Ovis aries: one gene and its partners. The protein of the gene in region 3 interacts with the protein of the main gene of each other region in a pairwise test. Links are inferred from orthologs where the notes say so. Each region holds a gene or a part of one and is shown on either strand. Other genes may lie near its edges.

The links.
Region 1: the proteins of ARRB2 (region 3) and MAPK9 interact in binary tests that used the Homo sapiens proteins (3 or more experiments, as listed by UniProt). The two-hybrid records come from large-scale screens. The link is inferred for Ovis aries from reciprocal best matches to the Homo sapiens genes ARRB2 and MAPK9.
Region 2: the proteins of ARRB2 (region 3) and ADRB2 interact in binary tests that used the Homo sapiens proteins (3 or more experiments, as listed by UniProt). The link is inferred for Ovis aries from reciprocal best matches to the Homo sapiens genes ARRB2 and ADRB2.
Region 4: the proteins of ARRB2 (region 3) and EGFR interact in a protein complementation assay, tested with the Homo sapiens proteins (3 studies listed by BioGRID and IntAct, with this or other methods). The link is inferred for Ovis aries from reciprocal best matches to the Homo sapiens genes ARRB2 and EGFR.
Region 5: the proteins of ARRB2 (region 3) and AGTR1 interact in a two-hybrid assay, tested with the Homo sapiens proteins (2 studies listed by BioGRID and IntAct, with this or other methods). The link is inferred for Ovis aries from reciprocal best matches to the Homo sapiens genes ARRB2 and AGTR1.

The regions. Positions count from the first base shown.
Region 1 is NC_056058.1:712,322-718,570, reverse strand, and holds the start of MAPK9 (mitogen-activated protein kinase 9), read right to left. Parts: upstream 3,615-6,249; 5' UTR 3,371-3,614; intron 1-3,370. UniProt on the Homo sapiens protein: Serine/threonine-protein kinase involved in various processes such as cell proliferation, differentiation, migration, transformation and programmed cell death.
Region 2 is NC_056058.1:58,015,142-58,020,339, forward strand, and holds ADRB2 (beta-2 adrenergic receptor), read left to right. Parts: upstream 1-2,183; coding exon 2,184-3,440; downstream 3,441-5,198. UniProt on the Homo sapiens protein: Beta-adrenergic receptors mediate the catecholamine-induced activation of adenylate cyclase through the action of G proteins. The beta-2-adrenergic receptor binds epinephrine with an approximately 30-fold greater affinity than it does norepinephrine.
Region 3 is NC_056064.1:26,515,312-26,518,291, reverse strand, and holds the end of ARRB2 (beta-arrestin-2), read left to right. Parts: coding exon 1-68; intron 69-347; coding exon 348-485; intron 486-1,210; coding exon 1,211-1,294; intron 1,295-1,396; coding exon 1,397-1,476; intron 1,477-1,554; coding exon 1,555-1,642; intron 1,643-1,923; coding exon 1,924-2,017; 3' UTR 2,018-2,480; downstream 2,481-2,980. UniProt on the Homo sapiens protein: Functions in regulating agonist-mediated G-protein coupled receptor (GPCR) signaling by mediating both receptor desensitization and resensitization processes.
Region 4 is NC_056072.1:1,091,506-1,097,967, forward strand, and holds the start of EGFR (epidermal growth factor receptor), read right to left. Parts: upstream 3,933-6,462; 5' UTR 3,771-3,932; coding exon 3,683-3,770; intron 3,025-3,682; exon of another isoform or gene 366-3,024; intron 1-365. UniProt on the Homo sapiens protein: Receptor tyrosine kinase binding ligands of the EGF family and activating several signaling cascades to convert extracellular cues into appropriate cellular responses.
Region 5 is NC_056054.1:240,268,526-240,274,701, forward strand, and holds the start of AGTR1 (type-1 angiotensin II receptor), read right to left. Parts: upstream 3,956-6,176; 5' UTR 3,763-3,955; intron 1-3,762. UniProt on the Homo sapiens protein: Receptor for angiotensin II, a vasoconstricting peptide, which acts as a key regulator of blood pressure and sodium retention by the kidney.

The DNA of each region.
Region 1 (6,249 bases), on a different chromosome or scaffold from region 3:
ACTTTTAAAAGACATTATCAACCAATCGCAATATATGGTCCTTATCTGGATCTGTATTCCAAGGAAGAAACTATTAAAGGAACTATAAAATTTATGAGACACCTGGAAATCTGAGTGCTGGCTGGCTATTTGATATCACAGAATGACTAATTACTGCTTTTCCAAGTTTGAAAGAATTCTTATTTTTTAAAAATTTTCAGACGTAAACTGAAAAAGTTATGGGTGAAATGACATGATAGTTAGGATTTGCTTGAAAACAATAGCACAGTGTGTGCTGGAGGGTGTGTGAGAGCTGTAGGCACGAGGGCAGGGGTGAACCAGGTTGGCCAGCGGTTAGTGATAGTTGAAGCTAGATACCACTGTTTACTTTCCTACATGTTTGAAATCTCGTAATAAACAGTTACAACGAAGACTGTTGTTGAAACCAGTTCATACAATCACAAAGGGGCAAATACAAATTTAGTAATTCTTAAGGAAAATCATGTAAAAATGTCACCTTCTTAACCAAGTATAACTAGATTAGAGACAGCTGTGCAGGCACGTGTGTTAGTCACTTCGGTCGTGTCCGACTCTTTGCGATCCTATGGACTGAAGCCTGCCAGGCTCCTCTGCCCGTGAGATTCTTCAGGCAAGAATACTGGAGTGAGCTGCCATGCCCTCCTACTGCCAAATCAACAATGTTAAGGAAAAAATGTGGTTTTGTTTTACCTCATATATCATGAAATAAATTGGTTTGCTCACTATTAATTGCTTCATATGGCACTTTTCTCTATCCAGAAAATTAAGACATTTTATTTTAAATAGACAAATTGAGGTGTACCTTCTAACATTTATTTAGGAAGGCCAAATAAACACATTTTAATCTGTCAACAAATTATTTAAAGTGGCATCCTGAAAAGTTAAGTTCTCAGGAGTGGATTCTCCTCAAGAAACTCAGGAAAAGAACGCTCTTCAGCGACAGACTATGCCAAAATAGGATTGTTTTTAACCCTGTAGGATCCTCTTGAAGGGGAAAAAAAGGGATAAATGAAGGGAAACGATATCTAGATTGGATTTTATTCTTCCAGAACAAACTAAGAGCCAAAGAGAATACTCAGAGCTAAGGGACTCAGGAAAGAATGCTGATCTGCGGGAGACCTGGGTTCAAATTTCACTTTCCAGCTGCTTGCTACAAAACAGACTGCCGAAACCCTGGGAGCCTCTGCTTCCTCCTGTGTAGAAAGTGGAGGCTAGCAGGCTTCCTAGCTGCTATCGCAGGGCTCCAGTGCCAAAAGAGAGTTCCTGGACAAACAGGGCCGAGCTGCCCTAGTCGTGGGCTACCCTTCTAGCTCACTGCAACTCTTCCCTCCTAAACAACCTGCCTTGAAGTCCGGAGTCCGACAATCCTGAAATAAAACTGAATGAGGTCTGCATTTTGCTTGGCTCACAGCACTGAAAACATTTTAAAATAAGCTACTGCCAACAATTGAACATGAAGAGAGTGCAGATACAAATCTCAAGTTCTGGCTTCTTTCTAAAAATTGCTGGGTAAGTGGTGTCTGGTTCTCCAGGGTCTCCACTACTCTAATCTCTCACACCTGGCCCCACAGGCTGGTTTTTGACCCCAACATTGGGCTGAATATTGGAGAAGGGGATGACAGAGGACGAGATGGTTGGATGGCATCACCGACTTGATGAACATGAGTTCAAGCAAGCCCTGGGAGTTGGTGATGGACAAGGAAGCCTGGTGTGCTGCAGTCCATGGGGTCCCAAACAGCGACATGATTGAGCGAGTGAACTCAACTGATTGGGCTGAAGTTCTTCCTTCACCCTGCCCTTCCCCACGTCTTGTCTTCCCCTAGACCTGACAAGTTTCTCATCACCATTCAAGCCAACTCCAGCACCAGCCAAGCACCACCGCCTCCTCCAAGTTTCCACAGCACAGCCCTGCTATACAGCAAGCTGTCCGAGCACTGTCTGCATGTCTCCTTTCTCTACTGGGCTCTTGGGCTCTCTGGAGGAAGGGACCCTGTTGCTACTGCCTTTGTGTCCCCAGGGCCGAGCAGAAAGCTGACCTGGATAATGTAGAATTCAGTCAATATGTCCTGAATGCGAGGAAGGAAGTTAGAGCGAAAACATTATAAAAATGTCAGATTTTATATTACAGCTTGTTCTGATAGTTACCAAATAAAAGGGTCAAGGACATTAAAATGTTCCACAAAACTAAAGCAACCTATCATCTGCATGTAAGTTTCACAAGTTAGTCAGAAGTCACTAAACAGAGAAAGCAGAGGCAACAGGCTGGCAGGGTCATTCATTCACTCACTTACTCACTTAACTGATATTACTGAATACTTACTGTGTGCTTTCTAAGCACTGGGGATAAAGCAGTGGACAAATCAGACAACTACCTGTTTTCAGAAAGCTATAATCCTAATGGGAGAGACAGAAAATAAACAGGCGAATCAACAGAATAGTTTCAAACCAGATACTGGGAAGAAAATTAATGTAATGAGACAGAAAGACTAAAGGAGGAGAAAGAGAGGTCAAGGAAAGGATTCTGTAAATTGGAACATGTGAGAAGGACCAGAAGGAGTCAGCTGTGCAAAGATCCGGGAGGCAACTCCAATCACTGGATACAAGTGCAAAGGTCCTGAGGTAAACAGGGCTGAATGTTCAAGGCCAGTAAGATGGGTAGGTTAGGAGACCACTGCTCCGGGTTGGGGGACTTGTTGGGGGTGAGCTGGTCAGGGCCCGCTCAGGCACTGCTGGGCACTGAGTATGCAATGACAAGGCACTTGGGGAGCATGAGGATGGGGGACTCTGGGCGGACTCTGCTACACTCAAGCCAGCAAGGAGCAGTATCCCGCTCATTTTCCACAAGTGTGCACCGGGCGGGCTCCCGCCCAGGGGCTTTCACACACATTCATAGAGCTTGACAACAATCCTGTCCAAAAGGGTAGACATTTCCCCCACTTTGCCGAGGGGAAAACAGAGGAACAGCAAGGATCAGTGCCTTCGCCAAGGTCGCAGGAATCAGATCCCAGGCTCTGAGCATCCGGGAGGAGGTATGCAGCTGGGTGCCAAACAATCGGGGCGGGGGAGGGGGCGCCCACAGACCCTACAGCAGGTCTGCCGGGGCCAGAGCAGGGAGCGAGCCCGCAGCTCTGGGGCGCGGACAGCCGGGCGTAAGGGGGTGACTGCGGCAGCCTGGAGGAAGAGGGGCTGCGGCCGGGGTCGCCAGCACCCCGCAGACCCCACAGAACCCGGTCCTCCCGCTCCGCACCCCCCTGTCCCCGCGGAGCCTGGCCTCGCGGCCTTCCCGCCGCCCCTCCCCGGCGAGGCTCGGTCCCAGAGTCCCCGCTGGGCCTAACCCGCCGGCCGGGCTCACCTCGCCTCCCCGCCGCCGCGCCAGAGGGAGAGGGCAGGCGGGCGGACTGGCGGCGCAGCGCGCTAGCTGCTCGCGGCTCCGCTGCCCCGGGCTCGCCTGGCCGCCCCGCCCCGCTCTGCTCCGCTCCGCCCCGCCGCCGCCGTCGCCGCCGCCGCAAAGGCTGTGAGGGGCGCCGGGGCGCCTAGGACCCTTCCGGTCTGGATTGCTTCTCCTCCGCTGCAGCCGCCGCCGCGGCGCCCGGTCTGACCGACCCGCGCGCCGGCCAATCAGCGCGCGGAGAGCTGGGCGGGCGCGGCCAATCGCGCGCGCGCGGGGCTGGGGCTACTGCCGGGCGGCTCCGGAGGGGAGGCGGGCCGAGCCCGGCGCTGGTTGACCAGGTCTTCGGGGAGCGGCGCTTGGCGGCCGCGCAGCTGATCGCTCCGCTTCCTTATGACGCAGGCCGGGCTCGGCGCGCCGACTGCGCTTTACCGGTGCCCGCGGCGCGGCAGCCGAGCACCGCGCTGGGAGGCGATGGAAAGGGGTACTGACGGGACCGAAAGCCGGGCCTCTGGGCTTGCAGGTGCAGACTGACAGCGGCGAGTCGGCCTGGAGGAAGGCGGAGAAGGTCCATGAGGGGAGGGCCAGGGCGAGGGGAAGCCGCGGCCTTGGCGTCCAGGACTGGGAGGCGGAGGCGGCGAGGACGTGGAGACGAGGGGAATGGACCTTGGATTCCTTTGCTCACTGTGAAGCAGTTTCAGGGTTGCTGCCAGAAGCAATGGCAACCCACTCCATCACTCTTGCCTGGAAAATCCCATGGACGGAGGAGCCTGGAAAGCTGCAGTCCATGGGGTCGCGAAGAGTCGGACTCGACTGAGCGACTTCACTTTCACTTTTCACTTTCATGCATTGGAGAAGGAAATGGCAACCCACTCCAGTGTTCTTGTCTGGAGAATCCCAGGGACGGGGGAGCCTGGTGGGCTGCCGTCTGTGGGGTCGCACAGAGTCGGACACGACTGAAGCGACTTAGCAGCAGCAGCAGCAGCAGCCAGAAGCCGAGGAGGGACATGGGAGGAGATGGCCATGTGCAGGCCTCTGGCCCTGGCAGGTCAGTGACAGAGGGGAGAAGACTGGCTGGTGAGCCTGGAGCAGAGTTCAAGCCACTTGAACAAAAATTGCCACCATCAAGGATTATGGGAAACTCAGGAGGTCTGGCTGTCAGAGCTGTGGTTTTACAAAGGAGCATTCATTCCTGGGTCTTCTCAGAAGAGAATGGCAGAGTCATACATGGAGGGAAGGGAGTGCAATGCTGAGGGCCCCTAGGACCTGTGATTTGTTGGCAGTGACCTTCTTCAGAGGTGTCTCCCCCAGCTAGCCTCTGGATCTGGTTCCAGCAGGTCTGAAGGTGTGAAATGATGGGAGAGTTGTCAGACCAGTGTTTCTATTAGCAAAGCTAGAAGTGAGGCACGAAGGCTGGACCCATTGGGGAAAATCTCAGAGGTCAGTGGATGGGGTGAGGGGACTTTGGGGACTGGGAAACTTGTGAACTGTAAAGGAGGAACAGTCCTCATAGGGTGGCCAGGGTAAGGGCCAAACTGGAGGGAAGGAGCAGGACTCTGCAAATGGGGAAGCTAAGGGGCACAGAGCAGGTGGCACGGAGGCTGGCAAGCCTGTGACCCAGGGCCAGGGTGGGAGTACCAGGACCTCAGAAGAGGAGTAGTGTAGAGGAAGGGAACCAGGTACATGGTTCCCCTTAGGCCACCCTGATCTTGGCTACTAGAGTGAGTTTTCTAAAACTAAGTATGGCCCATCCTTGTTTGAAATTGTAGTTGCTGAGTGTTGCCTGCACTGATAAGGGCCCACCTGATAGCCTTCTGCCCACACCCAACCATACTGCTACCTGCTCCGGATGCACAACAGAAAATAGGGAGCAAAAATTGCCACCATCAAGGATTATGGGAAGCTAATGAGGTCTGGCGGTTTACAAAGAAGCATTCCTAGGTGCCTCTCAGATTAGGAAGGAGCACCCATTCTCAGATACACTGCAGTCCTGACTTTGCAGCAATCACCCCATGCAAAGTGAGTTCCAAAAATCACTGTACACATATTCACCCCATCAGAGGAGAGAATGTCATGTAGAGTTTTCTGAAAGGATTCTGTTTTCTGGCTTATGACGTACGGTGAACATTTATGGACACCGCTGAAGTGACAGGATAAGGATCAGGGAGCTGGTCTATGCTTGGAAGAGTGTACAGAATTCCAGTGGAGGCTAACAAGTGAGAAGATCCTGCCACAAGTGTGTTGAGAACTGTAGGGATGGGGGATAGGGGAACATATGGGCATGACTGACAGCTGATCTAGCCTGCCAGGTGGGGAAAAGCAGTTGAGGAAGGCCTCCTGGACCAGAGGAAGCCCCAGCTGAGGATGGAAAGCCAGCAGGAATGTGCTGGGCCAGTGCTTTAGGCATACAGAGCATTCAGACCCAGTGGTTCTGAAGTGAAGACCTGCACGCCGTGTTCAGGGAACCACACATCACCTATTCATGTTGGAGATGGAGAAGGGATACTGGAAAGTTTTGAGGACTTTTAGGTGGGTGGACTGGCACAGGTGACTGGAGGCCCATAGGCTGGCTTCAGCTCACAGAATGCCTTGTTTAACCCTGAGAGTTTTCCTATGTTTCTATGTTTTTTAGTTACCAACATTTAAAAATTGGGAGCTTTCACCTTGAAAACTCTCGAATTGTTGGTTTCACTGTCTGCCAGAGTCAAAGCTCTGGCAACATGAGGCTCATATTCCCATAGTTTCAGCTGGGACTGAGTGGCAGCTGCCCCATTAGGTGAGACCCCCTAGTTCACCACAGTCTTAACTCCCTATTACCCACACCTGCCTGCAACCTCACTCAC
Region 2 (5,198 bases), on a different chromosome or scaffold from region 3:
ATATAAATTTATGTATAACCTTCATTTGTGTGGCATTTATTAAGTGCAAATCATAATTACCTTTGTCATTATATCATCTGATTCTCATTCAGCACAATGGAAGTGACTTTATTCCTCATTTAGATACGGAGGAAATTAGACTCCACATTTTTTATTTGCCTAAGGAATATAAGCTAGAAAGTTCTAAGATGAGAATTTGAAACCTGGTATTCCAATTCCAGTTGCGGTCCTTCTTCCCCATCCTCTATTCCTTTCTGCACTGTGGTGACACAGTACATTGAAAGGATTAAAAGATGGATTTTAGAGTCAAACAGGACTGGGTTCAGCTCCTGCTTTTGGCACTGCCTGGTCTTGTGCCCATGGGCAAGTTATTTTCTTCTTTGAGACCCCTTTGTGAATTAAGCTAAAAATAGTTATACCCTACCCCACCCTAACAACACACACCATGGGACTGTGGGAAGGATTAAATGGAATAATGCATGAAAAGCACATAGCAGAACGTTCCATAAATGTTAGCCATTGTTATGTTATTATGTAATCTAGAAAATATGTTCAGTTACACTGCATGAAATACTTTCCATTTTTCAAAGACACAAATGATACATGTGAAATCAAACCCTGACAATTAATTTTTTAAACAGTAAATTCATATGCCAGATGCAATGGATAGTATTTCATGGACAAAGACTCTAGTTTTTTTAAGAGAAGTTATCTTTTGCTTTCTGTGGTTTCAAAACATTTCTTAATGTTAACACCTTCTTATAATCTGAGCCATATGAAATTGTCATCTATTTAAAGTCAGATACTACAGAAAAGTGGCAATTTCATACGGCTCAGCCCAACAGATCAACAAACTACCCAACAGAAGATTTTTCTCGTTGCAAAGGGATTATTGAAGAAGTTGAACTTGAAAATTATTTCATTTTCAACATATTCTCATTTTAACAGATAAGGAAGGAACAATGCCACACTCCCTAGAATTAAGAATTAAAGCATACAACCTTCTCTTCCTATCCCCAAGCACATACACGTATACCCCAGCTCCAAATGAAATCCCAAGAGTAAAATTAGGTCTCAATCCCTGCAAATTTCCAAGGAGGGCACCAAAAGTACTGGACAGCAAGCATGCTGAGGAAGTTGGCTGCTGTTAAAGTCACCACCTGTGGTCTTGCCAAATGTCTGAAAGGGAATATGCCATGAGACCTGTGTATTGGGGAAGATGGGGGGGATGTCCAGGGGGCAAGGGTAAAGAGTTTGGAATATCCGGATGGGGAAGTCCTTCTCTGTGGCACACTGCTTGCCTCCAAGTGGGCGTTTGTATGCCGTTTGTTTACTTCTTTTTGTCTGTATGTCGGTGTCTTTATGCTTCTGGGTGCTCCTGGTTTGCTCCTGGCCATGTCGATCGTGCTGGACAGGGGTGATTGTGCCAGTCGGCTTCTGTGCCTGAGCACTCGTTGGTGCGCTGGATGGGTGTGTCTGAGTGTCTGTGGCTGTGGTTCCGTATAAGTCTGAGCATGTATGTCGGGGTACAATGTGCCTGCCTGTGCGTGTCTCGGTGGGCACGCTCATCTAATGCGAGGAAGTGCCGGAGTATTGCCATCTGCCCTGAGACCTCAAGCCGCACAGCCGCCCCAGGCAGACAGGTAGCGCCCACCAAAGAACCGGCACCTTCTAGCTGGCTGGTAAGCTCGCTAGAGCCGGCTTCAGCCTCCGGGGCCAGCCGAGGGAGCCCCGAGGGAATGGTGGCCGACCCGCCCTGCTAGAGCAGCTGGGTCCCGCCCGGGCCAGCCCCAGGAGCAGGCAGGAGAGGGGAGGGAAGGGGCGGGAGAGGGCGTGGGCCTCGCCCCTTTGGGGCTTCCCGCGTTCTATTGGTTGAAAGTTCTAGCACGTCACGGGGAGGGCAGTTCCCCTAAAGTCCTGGTCACATAACGGACAGCGCGCACTCAGAGACGGCTTCTCCAGAGCGCAAGCTGGAACTGGCTGAAACTGCCCGGCACTGCGAGTCCAGAGTACCCCCGGAGCTGAGTGCACCACGCACCCCTACCACACCCGCACCCACCCACGGCCGCTGAATGAGTCTTCCAGGTGCTCGCTTGCTGCCCGCAGCGCCCCGCCGGAGGTCCGCTCGCTGAGGGCGGCTGGTGCGCCGGCAGCCTGTGCGCTCACCTGCCAGCCTGCGCGCCATGGGGCAGCCCGGGAACCGCAGCGTCTTTTTGCTGGCGCCCAACGCAAGCCACGCGCCGGACCAAGACGGCACGCTGGAACGGGACGAGGCCTGGGTGGTGGGCATGGGCATCCTCATGTCGCTTATTGTCCTGGCCATCGTGTTTGGAAACGTGCTAGTCATCACAGCCATTGCCAAGTTTGAGCGTCTGCAGACGGTCACCAACTACTTCATCACCTCCCTGGCCTGTGCTGACCTGGTCATGGGCCTGGCAGTGGTGCCCTTTGGGGCCTGCCACATCCTCATGAAAATGTGGACTTTTGGCAACTTCTGGTGTGAGTTTTGGACTTCCATTGACGTGTTGTGCGTCACGGCCAGCATTGAGACCCTGTGCGTGATCGCTGTGGATCGCTACTTTGCCATCACGTCACCCTTCAAGTATCAGTGCCTGCTGACCAAGAATAAGGCCCGGGTGGTCATTTTGATGGTGTGGATCGTGTCTGGCCTTACCTCTTTCTTACCCATTCAGATGCACTGGTACCGGGCCAGCCACAAGGAAGCTATCAAGTGCTATGCTAAGGAAACCTGCTGTGACTTCTTCACGAACCAACCCTATGCCATTGCCTCCTCCATTGTGTCCTTCTACCTTCCCCTGGTGGTCATGGTCTTTGTCTACTCCAGGGTGTTCCAGGTAGCCAAAAGGCAGCTCCAGAAGATCGACAAATCTGAGGGCCGCTTCCATGCCCAAAACGTCAGTCAAGTGGAGCAGGATGGGCGGAGCGGTCTAGGACAACGCAGGACATCCAAGTTCTACTTGAAGGAACACAAAGCCCTCAAGACTTTAGGCATTATCATGGGCACTTTCACCCTATGCTGGCTGCCCTTCTTCATTGTCAACATTGTGCACGTGATCCAGGATAACCTCATCCCTAAGGAAATTTACATCCTTCTAAACTGGTTGGGCTACATCAACTCCGCTTTCAATCCCCTTATCTACTGCCGGAGCCCAGATTTCAGGATTGCCTTCCAGGAGCTTCTCTGCCTGCGCAGGTCTTCATTGAAGGCCTATGGGAATGGCTGCTCCAGCACCAGCAATGACAGGACTGACTACACGGGGGAACAGAGTGGATATCACCTGGGGGAGGAGAAAGACAGTGAACTGCTGTGTGAAGACCCCCCAGGCACCGAAAACTTTGTGAACCAGCAAGGTACTGTGCCCAGTGATAGCACTGATTCACAAGGGAGGAATTGTAGTACAAATGACTCACTGCTGTAATGCAGGTTTTTCTACTTTTTAAGACACCCCTTCTCCCCGGTTCCCTGCAACAAAACACTAAACAGACTATTTAACTTGAGTGTAATAAATTTAGAATAAAGTTGTACAGAGATGTGCAGGAGGAAACATATCCTTCTGCCTTTTTATTTTTTATTTTTTTAAGTTGTGACAAAATATATTTGAGTAACTGTTTCTTGTACAGTTCAGTTCCTCTTTGCCTGGAACTCGTTAAGTTTATGTCTGAAGGGCTTCAGTCTCAAAGAACCTGGGGCTGCTATGTTTTGATGACTTTTCCTGCATATCTACCTCATTGATCAAGTATTAGGGGTAATATATTGCTGCTGGTAATTTGTATCTGAAGGAGACCTTCCTTCCTGCACCCTTGGACTGGAAGATATTGAGTCTCTCGGACCTTTCGCTGTGAACATGGACTCTCCTCGCCCCTCTTATTTGCTCAAACGGGGTGTTGTAGGCAGGGACTTGAGGGGCAGCTTTGGTTGTTTTTCTGAGCAAAGTCTAAAGTTTACAGTAAATAAATTGTTTGACCATGACTTCATTGCACCTGTTTCTCCAAAACCCCTTGACTGGAGTGTGCTTGCCTCCCCCACTGGAAACTGCAGGTAACTATTTGCAATAACTGCCCAGTGACTTAATGTGGAATGACACGCACCGATTGCTTAACCCTTTCGTTTGCCTTTGAATCTGCCGCTGCAAACCTGCGTCTCTTCTAACGCTGCTGCTCCCACATCGGTTCTTTCGCCGTGTGCTCACCCAGCACAGCTCATCTTGCTCTTCCTACGAGCATTATTCCTGTGTTGTAACATCAGAAACACTGACTCATAGAACTGGAGTTATGGGCATCTGTTGTGTGCCTCCATGTGCCTCTGCTGCCCACCTTCCAGTTCTACTTGCTTTGCAGCTGCTTATATTTTTATCCTTGTCTTTTCTTATAGTAGAGATCATACTGCATCAGGGCTTGGCATTTTGAGGATAAGGAAGCTCTTGTGAAAAAGCTGCTCAAACATAGCCCTGAAATTCCAAGGGAAATGAAAAAGTCATGGGTTATAGGGAGAAAAGCTGGAAAACATGTCACTGGTGAATACCTCATGATCTAGAAACAGGGTTGAACCCTCCTCCTTTTGAACTGCTGTCCTTCTTTGCCCCCTCTCCCTGTGACTCTAGTCACTTCAGGACAAATCAAGATTTCTCAACCTCGTACTTTTAACATTTTCAGCCAGATAATTCTCCACTGTGGAAGACTGTCCTCCACATTGTCAGATGTTCAGCAGCAGCCCTGGTCTCTACCCATGAGATGCCAGGAGCATCCCCTGAGCTGTGACAACCAGAAATGTTCTCCAGTCACTGCCAGATACCCCTACCTTGAGGGATGAAATTGTCCCTGGTTGAGAACCAGTTATAAACTTCAAAACTCTAAGCAGATGTTTAGATTCTACCTATTATAACCACTTTATTTTGCAGAGCACCAGAGAGGCATTTTTCAGTTTTCTCAGTTAGTGACAGACCCTGGGCCAGTGTTCTACTTCATCACACTGCCTTCCAAGCTTATTCACCAGCTGCCCACAGACTGACTGTGAGACGTGAATTGTTTGGGAGGGTTTATCAATGAAGGTGAGGACTCTGAGCCATTACTGCCTGTTTGTGGAGAGATTATAATAGTGTTAAGAGGGACGTAAGGGAAAATCATGAAAGTAAACACATTTCTTTTCCCACCCCCTTTCTATTTTTGCCTGTGTGTTT
Region 3 (2,980 bases):
CAGTACGCCGACATCTGCCTCTTCAGCACTGCCCAGTACAAGTGTCCCGTGGCTCAGGTTGAACAAGAGTGAGTAGCAGAACAGCCCTGGGAAGGGTGGGCCCTGGGAACATGGGGACGTGGGTGGTTCTTCTCAAACTGTCTCAACTTACAAGGGCATTCCCTCCAGTCTGAGGGTGGCTCTGAGCTGCCCGTTTTCTTGAGCAGCTTGAGCCAAAACCTACTCCTTGTGACCCGTGCCCACAGAGAGGAGGGGCTGGTGATGCGGGAGAGGCCGCTGGGGGTGGGAGCTGCCCCCTTGCCCCGCCTGCCCCCTCAGAGTCTCCCTCTCTTGTCCCCACCCTGCAGTGACCAGGTGTCACCCAGTTCCACATTCTGTAAGGTGTACACCATAACCCCCCTGCTCAGCAACAACCGGGAGAAGCGCGGCCTCGCCCTGGATGGGAAGCTCAAGCACGAGGACACCAACCTGGCGTCCAGCACCATGTGAGGGGGAGTCGGCAGGGAGGGGGGCTGGCTGCAGCGCAGGAAACTAGACACCCATTCTGTGCGGCTGTGTGCCAGGTTCTGTCCCCGGGGCCAGGGCTCTATCACTGAATAGATCCCAAACACCTCTCCTGTTCTCAGAGGGAGGCCAGACAAATCAGATACAGGACAGAATGTGTAGTGTGTTTAGTGACAGGTGTTAAGGAGAAAAAGCAAGACTGACATGGGAGATATAAAGGGGAGGGTGGTAGAAGGGATGGGGAGGCCTGATCCAGAGGTGGATTCTGGGTGAAGACGCCAAGGGAGTATGTCATGTGGATGTGCAGGGCAGGAGCGCTCCAGGCAGAGGGTACCGCAGGCACAAAGACCCTGAGGTGGACCACCCGGGTGTCTGAGGCAGGCCCTCTAGGGGCAACAGCTTCATAAAGTAGGGGCTGGATTTCACCCCTCCCCACCCCTCTGTACACGACCACACACAGCAAGCCTTGGAGGCCAGCCTGGGAGCTGGAAGTGGGGTCAGAGGGCTGATGGAGAGCAAGACAGTGCAGGGTGGCTGGGCTGTAAGGACTTGGGCTTTTACTGAGAGAGCGATGAGAAGGACCACAGCAGAGTACTTTACGTGACATGAGCATGCTGGTATCTGTAGTCCGCCTCCTCATGGGGGCCCCGGGGTGGGCAGTGGGCAGAGCAGTGGGCTCTGGTCCAACCCCTTCCCCCAACTGCAGCGTGAAGGAGGGTGCCAACAAGGAGGTGCTGGGGATCCTGGTGTCCTACAGGGTCAAGGTGAAGCTGGTGGTATCTCGAGGCGGGTGAGTGCTGGGCTGGGGGGAGCCTGGGGGTGGGGTGGGGCACAGGGGTTTCCTCTGGCTCTGCACTATCATCTCTTCTTGCCACCTCTCCCCCAATCCCAGGGACGTCTCAGTGGAGCTGCCTTTTGTTCTCATGCACCCCAAGCCCCATGATCACATCGCCCTTCCCAGGCCCCAATCAGGTGAGCCTGCCACCCACCCAAGCCCACAAAGGGAGGGTCTGAAGCAAGGCCAGCGGAGAGGAAAGCTGGTCCTTTTAGTACCCACCCACCCCCCGGCTCTCCTCCCCTCAGCTGCTCCTGAAACAGATGCCCCTGTGGACACCAACCTCATTGAATTCGATACCAAGTAAGAGTGCCCCACCCCTTCAAGCGTTGACTCTCTGGACAGATTCCTGTAACATTCAGATCTACCCTATTTTTCCCTTTGGGAGGCGGGATGGTTGAAGCATCCAATTGAGAGGACTTAGGCTAATGAGCTGCCAACTACCACCCCTTCTCTGTCCCTTCTGCAAACATCTCCAGTCCCAAGGCTGCTCTGGCCGGCGCCTCTGTCTCTGGGAGGGGAGGGGACTGGGAGGTGGAGGAGGCCTAGGGCCCCCACCTCACCCCCTCCTCTCTACCACCAAGCTATGCCACAGACGACGACATTGTGTTTGAGGACTTTGCCCGACTGCGGCTCAAGGGGCTGAAGGATGAGGACTACGACGACCAGTTCTGCTAGGAAGGGAGGCTGGAAGAAGGGAGTGGATGGCAGGGGCGGGGGGGCAGGTGGAGGCAGGACCAAGACCCCCACTGTCACTGAGGGGGATCCCAGTCCCTCTTCCCTTCCCCTCCACCCAGCGGCTTCCTCGACCAATGCCCCCCCCCCACTCCCCCACCCCCCACCAGATACGCACTGGACCCAGCTCTTGTGGAACATGGGCATTAATTTTTTGACTTCAGCTGTGCTTCCCCAGTCCCCCAGTGGGTGGCAAGCTGTGTTCACACCTCAATTTTTTGGAGGGGGAGCCGAAGAGGAGTGATAATAGGAAAAGAGGGGGAAAGCACTCCCACATTCAACCTCACACCTACACCCCCTCCTGTCACTCTCTCTGCCTCCCATTCCTTCAGGATGAGACCCTTTGGGGGGCAAGACCACTTCATTGTTTCTGAGCATAAAGAAGAAAATAAACCTTTTAATAGGCCGGAGTGCGTGTGTTTTCTGAGCGGCGTTTAAGGAGTGCATCGTGTGCTCATCCGTGACTGTCAGCTGTGAGACTCAGTCCCTTTTCTGCACCCACGTGGCACCTGGCCCACAGGCTGTCAATAAACATTTACGGAATGGCTGAACTGTACCTGTGCCCCAAGGTGAACACAGAAACTTGATTTGGTCAGTCCCGACTCAAAGGCAGTTTGATAAAACCACAGAGCAAACTCTCTCATTTACAGAGGGAATAACAACTCACTTTCCCACAGACTAGATGCTTGTGGGAGGTGGGCAGGGCAGCCCCGTCCCTGTTGGGGCTAACATACACGACCACGGGGTGACCTGTTGTGGCTGAGCTGTTTCCACTGCTCTGTGTGGTTGCTCCCACTGTCTGTTCCTGGGGCTTGGCGGGGCCACAGCTGCAGGCAGAAGCTACACGACTGACATCTCTGTGGAGCCTGGTACTTACACTGTCACACAGAAGCTGAGGCTTCAGGC
Region 4 (6,462 bases), on a different chromosome or scaffold from region 3:
ATATCTGAGGTTACTGATATTTCTCCCGGCAATCTTGATTCCAGCTTGTGTTTCTTCCAGTCCAGCGTTTCTCATGATGTACGCTGCATATAATTTAAGTAAGATACAGCCTTGACGTACTCCTTTTCCAAACCAGTCTGTTGTTACATGTCCAGTTCTAACTGTTGTTTAAATTGCAGGGCTTCCCTGGTGACTCAGAGGTCTGCCTCTGATGCGGGAAACCTGGGTTTGATCCCTGGGTGGGGAAGATCCCCTGGAGAAGGAAATGGCAACCCACTCCAGTATTCTTGCCTGGAGAATCCCATGGACAGAGAAGCCTGGTGGGCTACAGTCCACGGGGTCGCAAAGAGTCGGACATGACTGAGCATGTCCAAATTAAAGCGTGCACACACACACAAACACAATTTTCATAGCAAGTCACATAGCAGGGGCCAGGAAAGTTCCTACGTGTCTTTTAACAAGTTGAGTATCCCCATCACAGATCCTGCCCCCATATCAGGGCTCGGGGCACCAATGTGGGCTATCTTCTCTTAAACACCATAATCATCAGTTTAATGTTAGAGCTGGCTTGCCACTCCCATGAAGAAAGTTTCAGACACTAGCTGCTGGTTCTGGAGCTTGGACCAAAGGAAAAACAAAGAATATTTTCTTTTAAACAGGGCAGAATTCTTCCTCTTTACTGACACCACCTCTAAGAACATTTTACAACATGTTAGTGCCATCACAGGGACTGAGTCTGATTATGGAGCACAATGAATGGCAATTGGCGTCTTCAAATTTCAGAATAAGTTCTTGAAAACTTATGGACCATGAAACTAAATATATGAAGCATGAAATGGCAGTCCAAAGCCGATGGGAGCTATCAGCCATTCACTGCTAGATGGAGCTACATAGTGTGGACAGATGACAGACACCCAGATGCTGGTCTCCTTTCCAAATCTGAAAAGCAAGATGCTACTTAAATCAGTGGCCTAAAGAACCACTCTGGAAACAACAATACAAACCGTTAGGATAACCACGGCCCCTTTTAACTCATAATGTCTGGCACATGCGATGCACTCAATAAACATTCATTGAATTGAGAAACAAGGTCTCAGAACCTGGAGCTGGCAAGGGACAGATTCACCTTCACACAGCATGGGAATGAGGACACAGGCTCCTGGCCTTCAGGCCAGTACTGAGTGGGCATCCTCTGGTCTCCTTAAAGAAAGGGAGGCTTCACCCTGGATACGATTCAAAATCCCCAAATTTGTTCTCTTTTATACAGCCCAGATCTACTGAGCCAAGGATATCATCTGAGGAGGGGCCGGGCCGGATGGCCTAGCTGAGAATACCATGAACGATCACTTCTGGAGCAGCACCTTCCCCTTTCTGTTTTTCAAAAGCAAGGAGCTTGCTCCACATTCCTCCAGCAATCTCCACATTCATCGCTCACTTTGTGACAGAGTTCTTCCACAAAAGGAGCCTCCTGAGCACGGGGAGAAGGAGTCCAGACCATGGGCAGGAGGCTTCCTCATCCCCAGTGTTCTTCCTCCCTCTGCCAGCATCCTACATCACACACACCGACAGAGCTCCTCTAAAACCAGAACAACAAATCAACACAGGCAGCACCCAGGGAAGGGCTCCAGGGTCAGAGGGCCAGAGTTTAAAAATTCAGGTAAACAAACAAACATCTGCCTTTTGCAAGCTGCGGGAAAGTCACTTTACTTCTTTGTACCTCGGTTTCCCCACATAGAATGACAAGAGCCAACTTGTATGGTTGATGTAAAGATTAAAAGGACATTTAAAACGGTGTCCGACAGGACCAAGTGCAGTGAGAACAAAGGACACTGTATCTTAGAACCAAAGAAGCCTCTCTAAAATGAGTAAATGTTCTAGAATAAAACTTACCAAATTTGATCAACACAGGTCTTTAACACTTGCTGTTAATAATTTGCCCCGTACATTTTGGTCTTCTGACGTTACTTTAACATTTGTTCACCTACTCTCACTATCGTATTCAGAAGCATTCTGTTTTGAACAAACATGGGACTAACAGGCAATTTAAGTGGTATTTATATATTTCTTAGAAAAGAATCTTTAAGCATTAATAGTAGTGTTCAGAAGGGTAACAGCAAAGAGCTGGGAACATTTCTGAAATGAGAAAAGTGATGCTTCGGAGGCACTCCAAGGGTTTAAAATAAGGATGGGGTCCCCTTGCCACCTGCTTTCAGGCGGGAATCCTGTTGTCAACAGATTCAGGAGCTGGACCACAGCCTGGGACTCAGAGGAGGAGAGACTTTCATTGAAAAAACTAATTTCTTTTTTAAATAAAATCATCATTCTCTTTCCTTTGCAAGATTGTTAAAACTCCAGATGTTCCCAAAGAGCTTTTTACATTGGCAGCAATCTTGCCAGAGATTTCACCTCTGTTGCCAGAGATTTCCAAACTTGACTGCCTAGCAGAATCACCTGAAGAGCTTTTAAAAATTCATACAATCAGGTCTCAACCCAGACCAGTGAAATGACAAAGTCTGGGGGTGGGAGCCAGACATCGTTTTTCGTTTGTTCTGTTTCAAATCCCAAGTGATTCTAATTTGAAACAAAGTTTGGGAACCACTGCTTTATGCCTTAGCGCTCCCGCATCAAACTCGCTCAGCACCATACCCTGTGCCAATGACCTCAACAGCAAGTACAGACCTGACTCTCGGAACCCAAGCTGCTCGATCTTGAAATTGGGCAATTAAACCTTCTGAGGCATGTTTCTCATTTCAAGTGGGTTTATGGTCGGCAGTCACGAAGCCAGACTCGCTCATGTTGGGTCTGGATATTTGGCACACGTGAATCACGGACATCAATTTTTTTTATTTAAATTAAGTTTAATATTTTGGTTGGCTTAATGTCAAATTCTTCAAAACTAGAAAACACATCCCAGACACAAAAATTTCTGGATTTTGAGGAGGAAAGCTTGCTGTGAGCCCTGTTTTGAAACCATGGAGAACCAGCCAGGATGGGTTCCCCCCTCTGGGGCGTTCGCACCAAGCCCCGGCTGTTTGGCCACGGCCTGTCCCACCCTCCGTCCCATCCACCTCGAAGCCGGGACACGCGGCCCACGGGCTGCAGGTGGGGGCGAGTCTCGGGAGTCCCGGGAAACCACCACTCAGGAGAGTCCACCGCCGGAGGGGCGCGGACGGCGGGGGCAGCTCGGGCCGCACCCGGGTGTGGAGGCGCCGTGCGAGCCGCCCCCTGGGGCCAGCGGGTACCTCGGCCCTCGCTGACTCGCAGCACAGGTGGCCGGTGCCCGGAACGAGCTTCCGGGCCTCCAGGTTAAGGCAGCTCTGGGAGGATGGCTCCCCGGCTCGGGAGCCTGACCGGAGGCTGGGCGCGGGTGCGGGGACGGGCGCGGAGGGCCGCTCCGGTCCTGGAGGTCCGAGGGAGCGAGGTGGACTCCGTGTCCCCCCTCGGCCCCCGGGCCGGGCAGACTGTGGGCGCACGTGCTGGGACGCGCTCGCCTGGGCGTCCAGCCCGCGGAGGGCAGGAGAGCAGAGGGGAGAGCCGCGCTGCGGGCGCCGCGGCCCGCCGCGCCCCGCGCCCCGCGCCGGAGGCTGCCCCGCCGCCCGGAACCGAGACGCGCATTCCTCCGCAGCCCGGCGGAAAGCGCGGCCGCCCGGGACGGGAAGGACGGCGGCGCGGGCGTCCTTACCTTTCTTCTCCTCCAGCGCTAGACTCGCCGGGAAGTGCGCGGCCAGCAGCACCAGGAGCGCCGCGCGGCCCGCCCGCGAGAGTCGCATCGCGCCGGGCTCCGCACTCGGTCGGGACGCAGCGGCCGCCGTGCGCTGGTCTCGGCGGCGCGGGACACGGCGGCGCGGGACGGACAGGGCTCGCGTGGGGCCGCGGGCGTGCGCACCGAGCCGGGGCGGAGGCTGCGCGCTGCGCCAGCCACCGGGACTTCTGGCTCGCTGGGGCGGAGGCGGGGGCGGGGGCGCGGGGAGGCCGGGCTGCAGGAGGAGGGCCCGGGAGGAGGGGCGGACGGCGCGCCTGGCCGAGGAGGAACCCGCCCGAGGAGCGCCGGCCGGCAGGACTAGGGGCGGCGGACAGCGGCTGCCCCAGGAGCCCGGTGTCCAGGAGGGGCCGTGAGGAGCCGAGCCGGGCGTCCCCCGCGGACGCGCCTGCGGTCTCCCTGATCCAGCCTTCTTCGAGCCACTTTTGTGCCGAAGTTGCCTTTTCCCCCTCTTTCTCCCTCCAAGTTGCGGAGCAAACTTGTACTAACTCCAGGCAAACTGGCTGAGCCCTAGGCCCAAGGCCAGATAAGGGTGCCTGGGGGGAAACCACCGCTTTGTTCCGGCACCCAACTCCTCTGAGCACCCTGGGATCTCAGTGGGGATCGAAAGTGGCCTAGCAGCTAAGACGTTCGTTAGCCGCGCCCTCGTGGCTGGGGTGGGTGCCTGGCCTCTGAGATGCGCTCTCCAGCCCGAGGGTCCTTCAGGTCGCGTCAAGCACCCTCGAATTCAAACGAAACAAGGACACCCAACTCCTGGCAGAGACTAGCCTTGGAAAAATGTTTGTTGAATGAATGCGTGGACACCGAAGGAGTATGCCAGGGTTCCATGAAGTAAATCGCTTCAGAAAGTCAAAGCGCTTAGAATAAAGGCTTAATATAAATACTAGCTAGATGCCCATCCGCCCAGAGACACCACGGTGTAACTCAAGCAAGAGAAAGACAGAGAAACCCACTAAGGACTGGGCAGGAAGAAATTAGGCTTTCTCAGGCTGCAGGATCTTTTTAGCTAAATTCCTTCAGCAAAGCCCACCCTAACCTACTGCTCCTCTTCCTCCTGGACAGACTCCTCCACCCTCTACAGTCAGACTCCTTTTCTTCACAAGAGCCACTGTGACATTCAGGTGGTTTAGTTCTGGACTCCCTGATATTTAAGCTGGAATCACAAACTTAAAATAAGTGGAGTTAGAGCAGGATCTTTCCTATGGGGAGGAGCAGACCTTGCATCTTTCCTTCCCAGGCAGCAAGTCCATGGAACCTGGGGCTCCTGGAAATTTAGAGTTATTTGTGTTTATTCCTTCATTTTAATGAATCAGGATGACCACTCAGCCTGTTGAACTCATCCAGCCCCTGGATGAAGAAGGCTGTGTAGATTCTGCAGGCCATGGCTTCAGTCCCCTCCAAACACTCCAAGCAAGGACTTAAAGTGGTTTGTAAAAAAACAGCCACAGGAAAGCACCGTCTGCTAGAGAAGAGCACGGGGCACATAGCAGTGGGCATGGAGTGCAGCCAGGGGTACTTCTCATAGCTGACCTGCTCACAGAAGTTCCAGGCATGTACTCCACGAGGGCCACAGATTGAGACCTAAGCCTTTGTTGAGGAAACATTTATGCAGTAGCATGGATCCATTGTCCATTAAAACACAAAGCTACCACCAATTTGGAAGACTGCACAGGAATTCTCCTATGAGTCCCCCAAAAGAGGTCAACAGCAATAACCTTCACAGTGCATCCTTCCACATGACCTGATGGTATTTCAAGATGGAGAGATTTGTGGAAACGATGACCTCAAGAGACAGTGTGGCACACGAGTCGATACGGGGTGCGTTCAGTGACTGCAGAGAAAAGGGTGGTGCACCATCCTCCTGGGACTGATGTGTGACATGTCCTGAGCCTGTGATATGAAGGGTGACATTCAGGATGATTTTATGCTCTTTGATAGGTACATGGAGGGGTGTGTATTTATAAATGTGTTACTTGTTAAGTAAAGAACTGTGTGACTGAGCTAGCAGAAATTATATCCTGAGAGAACAGAGCTTTTCCCAGACTGGGCCCTTTGTAGAGGATGCTTGGGTACTCAGCCTTGGAAGAAAGTGACCCCAGGTCACATCCCGGGCCATAGCCCAAGCAAAAGCTGCCACCACCATTACCACCACAAGAAAAGCAGGAGCAGCCCTGACTCCACTGTACTAGGTGCTGTTTAGAAATTCACTTATCTGACCACCTATGAGCAAGGTTACTTGTCTGTCTTTTATGGCAAGATGATGCTGTGGCTAGGAAATGTTAAGTAAATAACTTGCCCAAAGTCTCAAAGCATCCTTGCTAGTCATGAGGCCAGTCTCAAATCCAAACCCTGGCAATGTCCTTCATCACTGTCATACTGCCACTTTTCCAAACCTGAGACACATAGAGACTTTAGCCCTCCAAATTCTGTTTCAGAATATTTTGGAAACATTTTAGAGACAGTACCACCAAAATTTCTACTTGGCCACCAAATTCCTAGATAAAGCCTCCCTGCACACCAAGCATTTCCACATTAAATCTCCTGTTGTCTATCCATTTTCATAACAGATTTGTTCATTACCTTGCCAGCTACAAATTGGAAACTCTTTTTCTCCTCTGATGAGCAGTTCTCCTCTTTGAAGAGGTTTCTGAGTATTTTAAGTAAGAGTTCAATCCTTTCTAGAGGGCACAAGGCAGAGAATC
Region 5 (6,176 bases), on a different chromosome or scaffold from region 3:
AACTATGTAGCCAAAGTACTTTAAGTCATTGATCTAAATGAGATTTTAACATCACCTGATGAAGAACAAAGCAGCTTTGGTTATATGAAGAGAATAAGAAATCCCATAAAACTTGACCCAAACTGAATGGTTATTAATGCTATGATTTTAAATATTAAGGGCATGTAGAATTGGTACTTAGACTATGAAAAATAAAGCATACCTATTTCTTACCCATTTTTCCAATTTGTGTTAGAAAAGTAAATGGGCAACACAGTTTAAAATATTCTTGACTATAGGAAGGAAAATCAAATGATAACTGGAAGATTCTAGACACTTACTTCTAGTGTGTGTGTGTATATATATATATATATATATATATATATATAAATATTCTTTGTTAGTAAAATATTTTGAAAGAAATTTTGGTTTTCATAGTCAAGGAAATTTTTTCCCACAGTGATCATCTGCTATGAAGAGAAAGGATCAAAATCAGAAAACTTTTAATGTTAATACAACCACAGCTAAGATTCACTTGTCATGTTATGATTGTTCTAAACATATATTTTGTTTTCTAATTGTCAAGTTTGTCATTAAAATAACCAGCAAACAAAGCATCTGGCAAATTTATAACTCTGTAGATTTTTTTTTTTGCTGTGATGTATTATAGATGTATTTTAGAGCTTTAATAGGATAATAGTAGTAATTTGCCAAATCATTTGCCTATTACCTTAAATCCATAGAGATACTTCTAGATTTAAGATGGCTTTGTATATTAAGCCATTGAAAAGCTGATTTTTCATAGCTGAAATTCCTATTGTGATTAAAAATAAAAAATGTAAAACGATACCTAAATTTAGTGTACTGTTTTAATAGACACTAATGAGAAAAGAAACAAACCGTGTTATCCAATGACTTCAGACAATTTTGAAAGAGAAAATTTATAATCATTTTGAAGAAAATAATAGTACTTTCCAGTAGTGATGGGTTAAGAAGCTGGTTTTTCCAATTTGCTAGATAACAGGGGTAAGTGTTTGGTTACATTTTTTATACTTGGACATTTTGTTGCTCTGGCTCTGTATTTTTTTATTGCCACAGTCTGTCTTCAAAACAGCTTTTAATTTTTTATAACACTTGGATGTACTTCAAACTTCTAACTAAAATTTTTAATTTTTCAGACTGCTCTGAGAGGCTCTGGCATTGCTCAGTCATGACTGAGCAGGAAGAGGACTAAGTAAACTAGTGAGCTTGGGGCAAAAGACCGGGAGCCTGCATCAGGCAGCCAAAACATCCAAGTGTGATGGGTCTGGATCTTGGTCCCTGTATCAAATTTGAAAACAAAATACAGCAACTGTCAGCTGCATTAAAAGGACACTGTGAAAGCACAGATAAAACTATAAGAGACGTGAATCATGCATTTTAACTGTGAGTTTCAAACTCCTTTTCGAATGTGTGAATGTGTAACTCAGTCGTGTCCAACTCTTTGAGACCCCATGGACCGTATGTAGCCTGCCAGGGTCCTCTGTCCATGGAATTCTCTATGCAAGAATACTGGAGTGGGTTGCCATGCCCTTCTCCAGGGGATCTTCCTGACCCAGGGATGGAACCTAGGTCCCCTGCATAGCAGGCAGATTCTTTACTATTTGAGCTATCTGAGAAGCTCTCAAGTATTTTACCTGGGCTTTGGGTAAGCAGCAAATTTTCTTTCATTATTTTTCATCTAGCTCAGGACAAGAATTAATCATAGTAACAACAACAACAGTAATCAGCAGCAGCAGCAGAATAACCCCAAATTATATACCAGCACACACACACAACTCTTACTAAAAGTAGGAAAAGAAAAAACAAAGAAGAAACCTGAACAATTCACAAAGTCACAGTTTGAGCACTAAAGCAGAGTAAGAGGGGGATAGCAGAGATTTGAGCTCAAAACTCCTGGGATGCAGAGCATTGCCAAAGCAAGAGTGACTGGGAGACCCTTTATAAAACTTGTCTCCCTTTGGCTTCAGTGGAAGAAAACCAGCTTTCTTTTGGGTTGGATGATGGGACAGTTGATTCAGTTTAAGATCAAAGAAGAATCGAGCTAGAAATTGAGGCCTCATGATGGACACAAAAAACAAAGAAATTAGGAAGAAAAAAAAGGGAGCTGTAATAGAGTAGATAATGGACTAGATACTACTAATCATGAAAACTTTAGCAAAGTGTTGAGATCCAGCAACTTGGGGCCACTCCCTGATCCTTCAGCCAGGCTGTAGAAACTTCCAACTGTAATCTAGGGGATGGACACTTGGACCCAATGATTTTCCAGAGCAGATAATTTACCAGGAGAGCTATTTAGACAGTTTTGAGGAGCACAAACATGGGCTAAAAGGGTAATTGTTTTAGACTTTATTTTTTAAAGCAATAACTAGGAAACAAAAGGAATCAAGGAATTTTATCACTAGAGGGACCTGAGGTTTGAGTTGTGAAGTAACTCTAACAGCACATGGCCAGTTATGTGGAAGTCTCCATTCCCAGCTCTCTGTGCTTCCTTGCCCCTGCACTGTCTTCCAGATGGGTGTTGGAATCCATCAGTCTCCAGAGAGATTATCCATGTGGTGGGGCCTTGAGAGCTAGGGAAACACTAGCAGGCAACAAGGGAAACAGGCAGTTTCCTTTAAAGAAGACATATAAAGGTGTTACAGCTTATGCTAAGGAGAATAAACCTTGGAGACCCAGGGTGGTATAACTACCAAGAGAATCATGTTGGGGATGACAGCAACTTGAAGAGGAGATAGAGGTTGTTCAAAAAAGTTATAAAACAGAGCGGCGGGGTGCCAGATTTCCTCCCTGCCTCACTGTTACTCTCATCTAGGAACGACACTAGAAGTAGCCAGGTGGAAAATGTGATCCCAAGGGAAAGTGAGCACCCAAACTTTCACCAAGAAGACAGGGCTCCAGAGGGCCACTCGTGGGTGTTTGATTCTTAATTAAGCCAACAGCAAAGAAAGATCAGGTAAAGAGGCCCGCAATGTGCTCAATAGCTCAGGGCAGGAGACTCTTCTGGAGACAAAGCATCTGGCGTTGTGGGTAGATCAGGCTGGACATTTAACAGAACTGGAGAATGGGGTGCTAGGTAGAGGGGTGTATGAAGGGAAGGCGTCAGCAAGAGGTTCTGCTCGGTCTTGGAAGCAGAAGAACTTCTTCTAAAATCCCCCTCAGTGACAAACATGCTCTGGCCAGGGCTGTGGGGATTGGCGTGTGCGGAAAAGCTCCGTTTTCCTTCTCCCCAGTTAATTCGATGCGGACTCAGCATCCCGGGCCAAGGACCCAGCGTTATCATTTGAAGAGGGGAGGTGGGGAGGTGAACCTTGCAGGTGCCTGGCAGAGTGTGGGGAAGATCAAGTACTCGTTTAAACTGGCACAACTTTTAAAGGTACTTCCACCTCGAGGAGTAATATGCACAGATCACAGTTTAAAGACGCGAGTTAGCTAAAAAGCCTCGGGAAGAAAGTTTCCTTGGTTGCATCCCATCTCTGCAGATGCCTCACTTGTGATCCACAGAGTTTGGTCAAATCAGAATGAAACGTCGGGGGGGCATGCGGCAAACAAGATCAGACTGCTTCTTCCCACATCTGATTTGGGGAAGGTCCTCCACCTTCCAGTGGGTGCCGGGGAACCTTAGCTCGCTCTAGCCACCGTCTCCAAGAGCCTCCCGGCACCGCGCCCGCAGCTGACACCTTGGCACGAAACTGACACCCCCGCCCCAGCCCCCAAGCTGGCGGGGCAGTCCGCGCCACTCACCCGCGCTCACTCGGGACGCTGCGCCGGCATTGGGCCGAGCTGGCGGCAACGGTTCAGGGTGCGCCCTCACTCCCGGGGCTCGCTTGGGTTCCTCCTCATGGATCGCCGTCTCGGGTAGGTAGGCAGAGCTGCTAATTGCGCGTCTGCCCGGGCGCTCAGTCGCCTCAGGCCCTTGGCTGACTGGCGCTGGAATCGTCCTCTCTGAGGCAGCTCCAAATTTATAGCGAGGGGCGTTGCTGCTTCGAGGGTTCCAGGGGCGAGGCTGTGTTTTGCACTCTCTCCTCCTCCGCCCCGCCCGGGAGACCCTCTCGGCCCAACCCCCTTTCCTCTCCAGATGCTGACGGAAGAGGGATGATGCCACAGCCATCCCCGGTGTCACTTACTAGATCTGCGAGTACCTGGCACTGAACCCGGCATCGGGGGAGGGAGTGGAGAAAGGGGGGAGAGCCGAGGGTGCAGGACCAGCCATTTACACCAAGATCCGGGTTACTCCACTTTTTTTCTTTTAAAACTTGGGAAACTTTTAAGGATGAATTAGGGAACTTCTTTTTCTTCCCTGGATGTAGCTCAAACTTTGATAATACCATTGTTGATCAAAGATCGCTGCCGTAGATTGTAATTTCAGAGTTGTTACAAAGTGAAAGGGTGGACATTCATTTCCTTCTACTGGGGTATGTTGTTGGAGTTACATTTTAAAATATGTAAAAATTTTAAAAAATGATTAAATATTTAAGGAATAACTAATATAAATTCTTTATCGATTCTTCCGAAGAAGATGATCACTTTGCAACTCACGCTATAGGTCGGTATCACCATTATACCAAAACAAGATGAGACATGAGGAGAAAATCTCCCTGATGAATGTAGATAAAAATCCTCAGCAAAATATTAGCAAATAGATCTAGTTCAGTTCAGTTCAGTCGCTCAGTCGTGTCCGACTCTTTGCAATCCCATGAATCGCAGCTCGCCAGGCCTCCCTGTCCATCACCAACTCCCAGAGTTCACTCAGACTAGCTTCCATCGAGTCAGTGATGCCATCCAGCCATCTCATCCTCAGTCGTCCCGTTCTCCTCCTGTCCCCAATCCCTCCCAGCATCAAAGTCTTTTCCAATAGATCTAGTAACATATTAAAAGGATTATACACCATGTCCAAGTGAGATTTATCCGAGGAATGCAAGGTTGCTGGTAAGTCGCTTCAGTCCTGTCGGACTCTGTGCGACCCCATAGAGGGCAGCCCTCCAGGCTCCCCCGTCCCTGGGATTCTCCAGGCAAGAGTACTGGAGTGGGTTGCCATTTCCTTCTCCAATGCATGAAAGTGAAAAGTGAAAGTGAAGTCGCTCAGTCGTGTCTGACCCTCGGCGACCCCATGGACTGCAGCCTTCCAGGCTACTCCGTCCAGGGGTTTTCCAGGCAAGAATACTGGAGTGGGGTGCCATTGCCTTCTCCGGAATGCAAGGTTAGTTTATCAAAAATCAGTTGTTATAATATACCATATCAATAGAATAAAGGATAAAAGCCACAAGATAATCCTAATAAATTAAAAAGCATTTGACAAAATCTAACACTTTTTATGATAAAATCATTCAGCAAACTAGAATAGAAAATAATTTCTTCAGACTATGAAATCTATCTGTGAAAACTCACTAACATCATACTTAATGTTGAAAATAATGTTTTTGCATCTAAGATCAGGAAAACTGCAAAGTTCTTTGCTTTCCACATATCTATCAAACATTGTTCGAGAGGTTCCAGCTAGGGCAATTAGGCAAGAAAAAGAAATGAAAGGCATCCAGATTAGAAAGGAAATGAAACAATTTTTATGTGCAGATAGCATGGTCTTGTATTTAGAAAATCTTAAGGAATCAATTAAAAAGCTGTTAGTGCTAATAAACAAGTTCAGAAAGGCTTCATGATGCAAGAGCAGTATACAAAATCAGTTGTATTTCTGTATGTCAGCAATGAGCAATCAAAGAATACAATTAAGAAAAAACTGCATTCACCATAGATCAAAAATATTAAACTTTAGGAATAAATTTAATGAAAGGATGCAAACATTATATGCTAAAAACAGAAAATAATGTTGAAAGAAATTAAATTAGACCTAAATAAATGGAATGACATTCCATGTTCATGGGTTGGAAGACAATATTGTTAAAATAGAAATAATCTCCAAGTAATATACAGAGTAAACACAACTATATAAAAATCTGAACAAGTTGTCTTTGAAGAGATTAACAGGGTGATCCTAAAATTTAGGAAAGCACAAGGGACTCAGAATAATCAAAATAATCTTGAGAATGAACCAAGTTGGAGGACTATAACTTGTCTCATAATATCACAGACATTTGGAATCATTTACCCTAAGACTTTTTGTAGAAAAGCCAAAAGTAGGTGACAAATTCCAGAGTCTGTGA